Drosophila melanogaster: one gene and its partners. The protein of the gene in region 1 interacts with the protein of each later gene in a pairwise test. Each region holds a gene or a part of one and is shown in the gene's direction. Other genes may lie near its edges.

Evidence for each region.
Region 2: the proteins of a6 (region 1) and CG3032 interact in a two-hybrid assay, tested with the Drosophila melanogaster proteins (one large-scale study listed by BioGRID).
Region 3: the proteins of a6 (region 1) and Recs1 interact in a two-hybrid assay, tested with the Drosophila melanogaster proteins (one large-scale study listed by BioGRID).

The regions. Positions count from the first base shown.
Region 1 is NC_004354.4:1,694,096-1,697,850, reverse strand, and holds the start of a6 (a6), read left to right. Parts: upstream 1-1,961; 5' UTR 1,962-2,311; exon of another isoform or gene 2,312-2,319; intron 2,320-2,376; 5' UTR 2,377-2,378; coding exon 2,379-3,608; 3' UTR 3,609-3,755.
Region 2 is NC_004354.4:7,012,110-7,015,864, reverse strand, and holds CG3032 (uncharacterized protein), read left to right. Parts: upstream 1-1,983; 5' UTR 1,984-2,281; coding exon 2,282-3,577; 3' UTR 3,578-3,626; downstream 3,627-3,755. Other genes in the region: CG4593 (uncharacterized protein), read right to left, coding at 1,259-1,888.
Region 3 is NT_033777.3:14,152,286-14,155,700, reverse strand, and holds Recs1 (Recs1), read left to right. Parts: upstream 1-1,871; 5' UTR 1,872-1,941; coding exon 1,942-2,736; 3' UTR 2,737-2,816; downstream 2,817-3,415. Other genes in the region: CG31533 (uncharacterized protein), read left to right, coding at 1-944; CG44215 (uncharacterized protein), read left to right, coding at 1,269-1,385; CG42500 (uncharacterized protein), read left to right, coding at 3,149-3,379.

The DNA.
Region 1 (3,755 bases):
TAAAAAATGAGCAAGAGTCGGGGCCAAGGATAAGGATGAGGATGAGCCTGAGCATCCTGGAGCAAGCGGAGAGGAGTGGCGCGGAGAGGAGGTCTAAAGCAAAACAACTGCGGCAGACGATGGCGAAAACAAAAAGACAATGCCAACTTGACTCGACTCGACGCAACTCAACTCAACACCTGAGGAAGGCAAACACTTGAAGACGCGAAGCGGGAACCCCATTTTCCGCCATCAGGACGATGAGCACCGGGATGAGCAGCGAGGACGTGCATTCATTCAAATCGACTCAGTGCCCCTTGCGCCTGGCCTCTTGCTCGTCCAACTCCTCGCAAGGAATTCATTTTAATGCACAGGCGGGCCAGGCTGGTCGTCCCAGCCAGGAAACGATTGCAGGCAGACACGGATGGGCCACGGGGTGGGGTCGGATGTTGGATGTCGGATGTAGGATGTCGGATTCAAAGCCACCAGGGAGAGTCGCTTAAGGGTGCGTGTGGTGCGCCAAGATGTGGGTGCTGCTGCTCCTGCTCCTGCTCCTGCTCCGCACTCCGCGGCCTTAAACGGCCAAAGTGCAATCCAGAAACACAACACAAACAGTCAAAGGAGCTGCAGCTGGCGCAGCCAGGACTACGGAGGTCCTGTGCTGCCAGCCAAACGCAAAGCACCGGCTACAGTCGAGTCGAGCCAAGTCAAGACCGAGTCTATAATTTTTGTTGTGGTTCCTGTCTATTGTCTATTGTCTCTCGCCGCCCTTCTCCCTTTATCCCCCAGTAAACTGGTATCCTTCGCCAAGGGCAGACACATCTCCGTCTCCAGCTCCAACGCCTTTGCTCCTTGGCTCCTGGCTGCTCCGCGAGCTGGGGAAATGAGCCATTCGCGTGAATTACTGAAATCGGATCTTGCCCGCCCCGCTCCCCAGCGGACCGTACTTGACTCATGGCTGTTGCACACCCTTAAAGCTTAAAGCCAGATGTAAATGAGTGCCCAACAATGTACAATCCGATCCGCCGATTTGTTCATACAGCTAGTCAACATAACTTTGATCTTAAGCTATATGTATACCCAGATATATGAATATTTGGAAATATGAGATCAAGACTGTAGATCAAGTTGTGGAGTGGAGTATCGAGTATCAGTAATATGTTTCCAATGGTACTACTCTAGGCCCCTACGCCTGAACGTTGATTACTTTTATTTATCAGATTGCTAGCTTTTCGCTTGTCTCTAGAGAAATGGGTGAAAGGGCATACATAAGGCTACTTATTAACAAAAAAATTTCTTATTTTTGTACTAAATGCCTTCTAACAGTTATTTTCATTTTGAAATATCCCACCCAAAACTAGTGCTCCACTTCTGATCGCAAGACTCCGCTTGTAAGGCCTTATGTTCCTTTCAACCCTGTAGTAATTTGAACGGAAGTTTTGGGGCTTCACGATTTTTGTGGTTAATTTCCAGGCATCCTAAGTCTGCGAAAATTAATCGAAGGCATGAAAAGCCCAAGGGCGGTTGCTATATCTACATCCGCATCCGGAGGCGACGATCTGCCAACTGACTCCAGCTGGAGTCGGTGTCTTCCCTATCGTTCCGGTCCTCGTACGGATGTGGAGTGAAAGCTCTCCCAGATGTGAGTGAAAGCTTCTGAAAACAGAGCGCCGGCGCCGATTGAGTGCTTCTCAAAATTGTGGGTGGTGCCAAAATTAGCTTGAGTGCTTTGTCTTGAGATAAGAGTGTTTTACTTAATAGGAATTTTATCGGGGCTACCTGGTGTCCAAGTCGCTGGATTTGCTGGTGATCCAAAGCACTTGTATCCTTCTGTCCTTTGCTTCGAAGCTTCATTATTTTCTCTAGCTGATTTTAAATAGCGCGCCCAAGTGGCGAATGCATTATCGATAACTACCGACAGATACTGTTTGGCCAGTCGACGTGCACGGTTGCACGCAGCGTGGACTATCGAGAGAAGCGTTATCGATGTGTGGTCGCTTATCGATGCAGTTTTATAAACAGAACTCTAAAGTACAACAAAAGCACAAATTAAGCAGCTGCCGCGCGAAAAAACAACCATCTCGGCCCCGCTCGCATCTCGGCATGTCCAGCGGCGGGAGGCGCAGCGCCTAGTCCCGCGCCTCCGCTCCTCTCAAGGAAATCCCCCTGCGCCGCCACGCAATTATGCAAGTTGCAGCAGTGGATCTAACTGTACTCGCCGCCAGTGGAACAGCAAGAGGAGGAGGAGGAGGAGCCCCACGGGCCCGAGCCCATGACCCTTGACAACCCGTGGCAGGCACCGCCACCGCTAGAAGACGAGTCCACACACTCGGTAAATAGGTGCCCACCAGTGGCCGACCAGGCGTCACAGACTAACTCTTCTCCTGCCGCCTATAGACATGAACCAGAAACATTCCGAACCATTCTACATATCGCCCCGGCTGTTCGACAACCGTCGTCTCAAGCGGCGCCGCTGTCGGTGGATGGAACGCCTGCTTGAGCACCAGCGGATCTGCATGGCCCGGATGCGCGACCAAGTGGCTCTCGCCTCCAAGACTGACCGGCAGCTGTCCCATCTGCAGCGGCGCCATGTCGCCTCCACTTTGCAGCCGGACGTGACCATCGACCTGCTGTCGGATGACGATGAGACCCCATCGGCCGGACAGCCCGCTGCAGCTGGCCACAATCGCCTCCTGATTCCTGCCCCAGGGCACCGAGCACATAGAACGGGCAGAAGGCAGGCGCCGCGCAGAGCTGCCACCCACTCATACCCAGTGACCGACAGCATCCTGATAACCAGCGATGACGAGCACAACGAGCAGGAACCCAGCAGCACGGCAAGAGTGCGCTCCCAGCTCTCCATGCGCTCACCGCCACCGCTCGCACCGCTCACACAGTCGGAGACCATCGAAGAGGTAACTGTTTCGTTGGTGCCGCGCACCTCCACCACTGCCAACTGCCTGACGCGGGTGTCAGGTCACCCCAAGCCGTGTCGAGCGTCGACGGCGGCCAGCAATGGATTCGCCACCGCCGAAGGCGGAGAGGGCGGCAATGAAACGGGCTGTTTTCTGGAGGTGGACGTGGGCGGAGGCATCACAGCCACGCTGCCGGACGAGACGACCGTTCACACGGTCATCGCAAACCGTATTTACGAACTCTCGCTGAGCAAACTACGCGAAGGCCTGGCTTTTAGTGGAGTGCCGGAATACACGAACGACCTGATGCCGGAGCAGCTGCAGAAACTGTCACCGGCATTGCGCGCCAAAGTGGCGCCCTTGGTGGCTCCCTCGCCGCCCACGCCCATCTCCCTAAAACTGTCCAGCGACCTCAGCATATCACTGATCTCAGACGAAGACGATTGCGAAAGCACCGGTCCACATGTCAACGGAGGAGTCGGCACCGAACCGGTGCACCCCGTCGTGGTGGCTGCGGCGGAGGCACACGCTGCCGCCAAGCTGCTCAAGCAGCAGCAGCCACAGCTCTCGGTGGTGCAGCATCTGCAGTACGTCGGCGGCGGACTCGCAGCTCCAGTGGCTCTTGCCCTTCCGGTGATGGCAGCAAATCCGACCTCGTCTGCTTCCGTTGTTGCCTTGCCGCTGCAGCTGCCGCGGCGCCGAAAACTGGGATGAGCTGGATGACTGATGACCGATGACCCGCCAGAACCGAGTCCCCATCGCCATAATATCATTCCCCGAGCCGGAAGCACGGCATAGACTTTAACTAGCAGTGGCTAGAAGTGCAAATATGAACGTAGGTTTAGCGACAACACATCACTA
Region 2 (3,755 bases), 5.3 Mb from region 1:
TTTTCGGGGGCTTCCCCATTGTTGTTTGGCTGCCATTGTTGTTGCGAACAATGCCTGAAAATAAAATGTCCGATAATGAGTGCGTTACCGAGCCGAAAAGAGTGCGGCTCTTGCTGACACAAGATTTGCCAGCCGTGCAGCCATTCATTTCCATGTGCTGACAGCAAATTGTCCAGAAACTCAAAAAGGCAACAAGCCGTTGAAGCCATAAAACGGTCAGCAAACGGCAGAGCCCCCAAACGGCGCCCAACTATAAACATAAGCAATCATAAAGATGGGCAAAAAAAAAAAAAATATTAACTGAAAACCCAAAACAAAAAAAAGGCTTAAGCTGCAGATGCTGTCAGAGCCGATCAAATTGTGGGAAATGTGACAGATGATAGCGCGAATTGTCTTCGGCACAATCAAATGGAAATCAACCGATTCGGAATGAGTTTTTAAATTTGTATGCGGGCATTTTTGAAATTTACTTATGGAGTTGCCAGACTGTTCGCTTCTCCTAATGTTAACCAGCCTCTGCTGATAAGTTTACAGACATGTAAATAAAACGAATATATGTTTATTACAGTTTCATATCGATAACTCAAATTTTGAATTGAGCTTAACACGCCACCTGTGACAAAGTAAACTAACTATACACTGGCAAGCAGTGCAGTTGCTCACAAAATACCCGTTACTCGTAAAGTAAAAGGGTATACTAGATTCGTCGGAAAGTATGTAACAGGCAGAAGGAATCGTTTCCGACTATATAAAGTATATCTATTCTTGATCAGGTTCAATAGCCGATTCTATCTAGCCATGCCCACGCCGTAAAACCGCCCAAAACTGCCACGACCACATTTTTAATAAGTGTTTGGATGGTTTTTCACAATTTTATTAGTCGCTTAAATTTCTATCGATTTAAAAAAAAAATTTCATCCACGCCCAGTCTAACGCACTAAAACCGTCATTTTTTCCCCAATATTTTTCGATATCCCAGGAAAATGATTAAATTTCGCATTCACATTAGCTGAGAAAATGGTATAACTCGACTATAGCATTCTTTCTTGTTATTATTATTATTATATTTACAATCTATATTTTTTTTTTCTCACACTGCAATTCTTTGGCAATGCCTGCCGCAAACGTTCTAATGAACCAAAAAGATGGCATTTACAAAATGATGTGCGATTGATAGAGTAAGAAAGGTCGAGGATGGCAAAGGATGTTTTGGGTAAATGCGAGGGTGCACCAGGACTTGGTCCTGCCCACCCGGGGACTACATGAAGTCATCCGACTCGTTGCCGGCATCGTAGTTGGTGCGCATGTTCTCCGATTTCTGGAGGGACGCATAGCTGCGCAGCTCCGCCTCCAGCTCACGCTGCTTGGCAGCCTCCTTCTCCTGCTCGCGACGCTCGCGCTGGATCTTCTTCTGATCTTGCCGCTCAGCGGCATCCCGCGCCTCGCGCAATCCCCGAAAATCGGGATGCTCCTCCTCCGTTTTGGTCCTGTTCAGGCGATTGACAATCTCATTGATGCGCTTCTCCAGGCGAATGCGACGCACCGCCTTCTCGTTGTGGTAGGCCACCTGGCCGGGCTCCATGTCCGGGGTCTTCTTCAGATTCTCCCACATGGTGTACACCACCTCCAGGTTGTTCACCTTGTTGCCCTGAATGCTGTTCGCCTTGCACAACTGAGCGGCGTCCACCAGCACATCGGTGGGTATGTCGTCGATTGTCTGGCCCTTCCGTAGCCGCAAATACACGTGGGCCGAGGACAGGTCGTGGACATGGAACCACACGTCCTCCGGCCAGCCCCATCTGATGAGCTCCTCGTTTTCGTGCTTGTCGCGACCCATGTATAGCATCGCCGGCGGCTGGACCACATTGCTCTTGAAGTAGAACACCATTGCGCCAGATTCCAGAGGACGAACTGCAAATAGAATAAAATATGTTTTCTTGGGAGGCTTGATTCAGGTCCACCTCTGGCTCAGTGTGACCAGACGACGTCTTGTCTGAAATACAAATGAAATACAGTGGAATTTGCATAGTGCTGATTTCTGTATCACTTAGTATATATATAAATTCCGCTTTTAATTTGGCTTTAATAACTCAAATTTCTTTAGGACACCGTTTTCACAAATTCGTCTACTTATATTAAATCAGAGTTGTCAAACAGTTATTGTTTGCTTTTTGAAGAGAGCACTGTAGTTGATGTTCTTCTTCTTTCACAAAGCCACAACAAGCTGTTGGAACGCCTAACAAAAAGCGTTTTGAATTGAATTTTTTCAAAGAACCACAAAATGCCTTTAAATCTTACCCGGGAATCCGTACGAGAACTCTGTTGCACATGCCTGCTCCAATTGGAGAAGGAACCCTTGAAGACAGAGCTCCAATCAGATGAGATTCCAATCAGCCAGGAGCTGCAGCAGCTGCTCAACATAAATCTATCGCAGGATGTGGAGAACCAGGACGCCGACCAGCAGTGGCTGCCCAACGAACTGTGCCTGGAATGCCGCAGCGCCGTGCAGAATTTCGAAAAGTTCCGCAGGAAAGCCGACGAGTGCAGGAAGCAGCTGCTGGAAATGCTGAAGAAAGACCCACGGGAACCCACTTTCGAAGTAGTCTACGATGGCAGGGAGGAGGACCAAGAGTCTCTGCATGGTCTGGAACCACCAGAACCCGCTCCCGACCCAGATCCCATCGATGAGCCGGCTATAAAAAGTGATAAATCCCCCCGAAAGTCCTTCAGGGGATCAAGGAACACCCTGAAGTGTTCTGTGTGCCGGCGCAGCTTTGCCCACCAGATCACCCTAGCAGCGCACATCCGTAAGGTGCACGAGGGCAGCAAAAGGCCCTTCCAATGCGATCAGTGCGAGAAGGCCTACAGTTTCATGGGCGGTCTGTATACCCACATTCGAGAGGTGCATGCCCCCAAGGAGCGACGCCATCCCTGCGACCAGCCAGGCTGCGAGAGAATCTACACCAGCCGCATAGCCATGCAGAAGCACAAAAGGCTGAAGCACAGTCCGCGTGACCGCGATGCTTTGAAGAAATTCATCTGCGAGCAGTGCGGAGCCAGCTTTAACCAGTCGGCGAATCTTAAATACCACCTTAAGACAAAGCATCCCACGGAGGACGAGGTGGCCGCCAGGGAGGGCGGCGCCGGAGAGCGCCATTTCTGCGACATTTGTCAAAAGGAGTTCCATTCACGATACACCCTCAAGTACCACACTTTGCAGCAGCACGAGGTGCAGGAAGAGTTGCCCCACGAATGCCAGGTCTGTGGACGCCGGATGGCCAAGAAGTTCATGCTGCTGCAGCACATGCTGATGCACTCGAACGACAAGTTGCCCTGCGAGCACTGCGGCAGAAGATTTGCCAGGCGATTCGAGCTCGAAGCCCATGTGAGAGCAGTCCACTTAAAGCTGAAACCCTTTCCCTGTCACCACTGTCCGGAGAGCTTTGCTTCTAGGAAAACCCTGCGGCACCATGAGTACATACACACGGGTGAGAAGCCCTACATTTGCGACACCTGTGGACAGGCCTTCCGGCAGCAGACGTGTCTTAAAAACCACCGGAAGGTGCACGAGAAGTAGTCTTAGCTAGCCTTAGTGGAAAAGATTTTAAAATAGACTGATTAAGTGGAAACGTGGCGTCTTTTGAATGTTCTGGAACAGGTAACGCTCTTCGTAGGACATGAAGGTGCTATGCCAACAACCCTTTCCTCAACAAACAGCAGGCATTCACTTAAATAGCTTTAGTCACCAATAACTT
Region 3 (3,415 bases), on another chromosome or scaffold:
CAAGCATTGTGTCTCGTCGCCATGGTTGGAACTGGACAAAAAGTTGCGAGGCACGGAAGAATGGCTGGCGGCCAGGTGCCATCCTACGATCCTCTGGCCATGTGATGCGTCACTTCCTGATGCGAAGTAGAGATCCGAATATGTGCGGCAAGGTAACAGCTGATTACGAGGAACAGAAACGATTTGGCCATCCCGTGCTCAATATTTGCAAGCGAAATGGTAATATATTCGTAACCCTTCGTCCACTGCCCACTTTGGGTATGAAACAGAAACCCATAACGTTCCGGATCGTCAAGAGCGATATGGCGGTGGCACTGCGCCAGATCAAGCGTGCTCTCAAGGATCAGGGCTTCGAGAAGTGCAAGTGCCACCAGTCCCTGATGATGTGCACCTGTCGCGATGCCTTGGATAAATTTCACCTGAATAAGGCTCTCAAGAAAGAGTGCCAGAAGCGTTTTATAGAGCCATGTCCCGACCACTTGGTGCTTACCGACACAAGTGAGAGCGATTTGGAGTTCGATCTGGATGTGACTCCGCCGGCGGGAACTCGTAGACCGAAGCGCAAAGCCCTTAGGAACGTGGTGAATCATAGCACCCAGACTGCAATGAAGGAGCCACCAGTTATACCGCCTCCATATCCAGTAGCCCACAATCACTTCTATAGGGCCTACGATTGCGCAGCAGGAGATCGGTATATGGGCACAGCCTTCGGCGATAATATAGAGACCGTTTTCGAGGATGGAGTCTTTGGATACCGGGGTGGTGGCCAGCATGGAAAGCCCGTAATCTGGCGACACCCGAAGGTGTGGGGCAAGAAGGCCCAGGCACCACTCCCGATTGGAACCGCTAGGAACGCCATCGATCCTTACCGGTATACCAAAAATGTTTGGAAAGAACTGCCGCGAAAGATAATACAAAAAATGAGAGCAAAATCAAGGAAATAATTGTATTCTTTTATTAAAAGTCAAAATGTAATAAGCGTGTTTTATTTCTCTTAAGCTACAATGGCAGCCGTTTGGAATTATAGGAATTAGTATAATAGTATTATAAATAATTTTATTTTATATTAGGGAGCACATTTTTTGTGATTGTTAATGACGCAATCCAACTTGTTTTCAAAGTATTGCTAAAATTCTATTAATACGAGCATAAGAATTTGATTAAATATGCTAATTATATAGAAATTATAAACTGGTCTCAATCGACTGCAAACGGTAGTATAAAAGCGCCATGCCAACTGTTAGACTGTATTCATTAAAGTTACCAAAATGAAGATCTTCGCTCTGTGCGCCTTTTTGCTCCTCATCCTGGCTGCCGTCCAGGCCAATAGTTCTCCTGAGACCAGTGCGATCTCTGAAGGGAACCTTAAGAAAACTGCTGGATAATTTATAATTTCACGAAAGCTACTTGAATATTGGAATAAATATTCTATTTAGCAGCAGAATTTGTTGTATTTATTTGTATGCCCTTGCAGAGGGTATAATGATTTCAGACAGAAGTTTGCAACGCACTAAGGGGTACATTTGCAACCATTTAAAATATGTATAAATAATAAGTATTAACAGCAGAGTGTATATAGCCATATAGTCATTTAGTTATCCGTAAGTCCGTTTTTGCTCAAATTAGTCACATATTTAAATCTTTACATAAAATTGTTGTTTGAATTTAATAAATACGCATTACTGCAAATGTATATAAGACGGAAGACAGTATTGGATATATATTATTATAATATTATAATATTGTGAATTTTCGAATTCTAAAGAAATGAAGTTAAAGTTATGTTTATGATAGTTACTAATTATGAAAAGAAGATTTATAGTTTCTAAGAAGTAAATTCCATTTAACGTTGACTCTTCTGTCATACTATACTTCAATTTCCGACAAAGGTTATTAAATTAAGAATTAGCAGTTACTTGAAAGTTGTGTTCGAAGGACACAATGCTGGATATTTTACAAGAACCAGTACATCAGTATGGAAATCGGAGCCACCAGGCGGAGTGTATTCCGCTGGGAAGATATACAGCTTACGGATCGGAAATCGGACAGGATGATCCAGACAAGGGCTTGGGATTCTGCAGCGCCAGCATCCGGCGAGGATTCATCCGGAAGGTGTACCTCATCCTGTTGGCCCAACTGATCACTTCCCTGGTGGTTATAGTTTCACTTACTGCTGATAAACGGGTGCGTCTGATGGTGGCAGAAAGCACCTGGATATTTGTGGTGGCCATACTAATAGTGGTCTTCTCTCTGGTGGCTCTGGGCTGCAATGAGGATCTGCGTCGTCAGACCCCAGCTAACTTCATCTTCCTATCTGCCTTCACGATAGCCGAGTCCTTTCTGCTGGGCGTGGCAGCCTGTCGTTATGCCCCAATGGAGATTTTCATGGCCGTGCTAATCACGGCGTCAGTTTGCCTTGGACTCACCCTTTTTGCTCTGCAGACGCGTTACGACTTTACCGTCATGGGTGGCCTCCTGGTGAGCTGCCTGATAATACTGCTCTTCTTTGGAATTGTGACCATCTTCGTGGGCGGACATATGGTCACCACCATATATGCCTCATTGAGCGCTCTGCTCTTCTCCGTTTATTTAGTTTACGATACACAATTGATGATGGGAGGCAAGCATAGGTACTCCATTAGTCCCGAGGAGTACATATTCGCTGCCCTAAATATTTACATGGATGTAATGAACATATTCCTGGACATTTTGCAATTAATCGGAGGATCCGATTAGTTGCATGAAATCTCACAAACACACAGATTATTTTACATCTGCAATTCGACGTCGAGTATTAATAAATCAAATTCAGCAGCAAGCCTATTTTACATTTACTTAAAAGCCTAAATATAGGCTTTAAAAATTTGGATATTTTTTATACAAAGCACAGTTGCCATAAATAATATAATTAAACTTGTTTGCACAAACAAATGCAGAAATAACAAGAATGACCGGTATTCAATGATCGCACCTGTTCATAATCGCTAATTAACGGGCAACCTATATATTGAAATACATTTCGTATAATTTAGTGTTTTGTGACCCAAAAAATAACGAAAAATTATAAAAAAAAAGATAACTGTAAACGGTTACGATATTAGGTATATAAGATCTTCCAGCACCTCAAAGTGTATCAAATTTTGAAACGATGAAGTTCTTTGCTCTGTGTGCCTTCCTCCTCATTGCCCTGGCTACCGTCCAGGCAACTCCCGGTGATCTGCGCCATGTTCCTGTAGGACACGGAGGACACCCAGTCAATGCTGGCCACGGACCTGTGGGACACGCTGGTCCTGTTGGACACGGTCCAGTTGTAGGCCATGGTCCAGTTGTAGGCCATGGTCCAGTTGTGGGACATGGTGTTCATGGTCATTCTGGCTGAAAACTTATCTGAATCCTACAAGGAGCGCAATGCAGA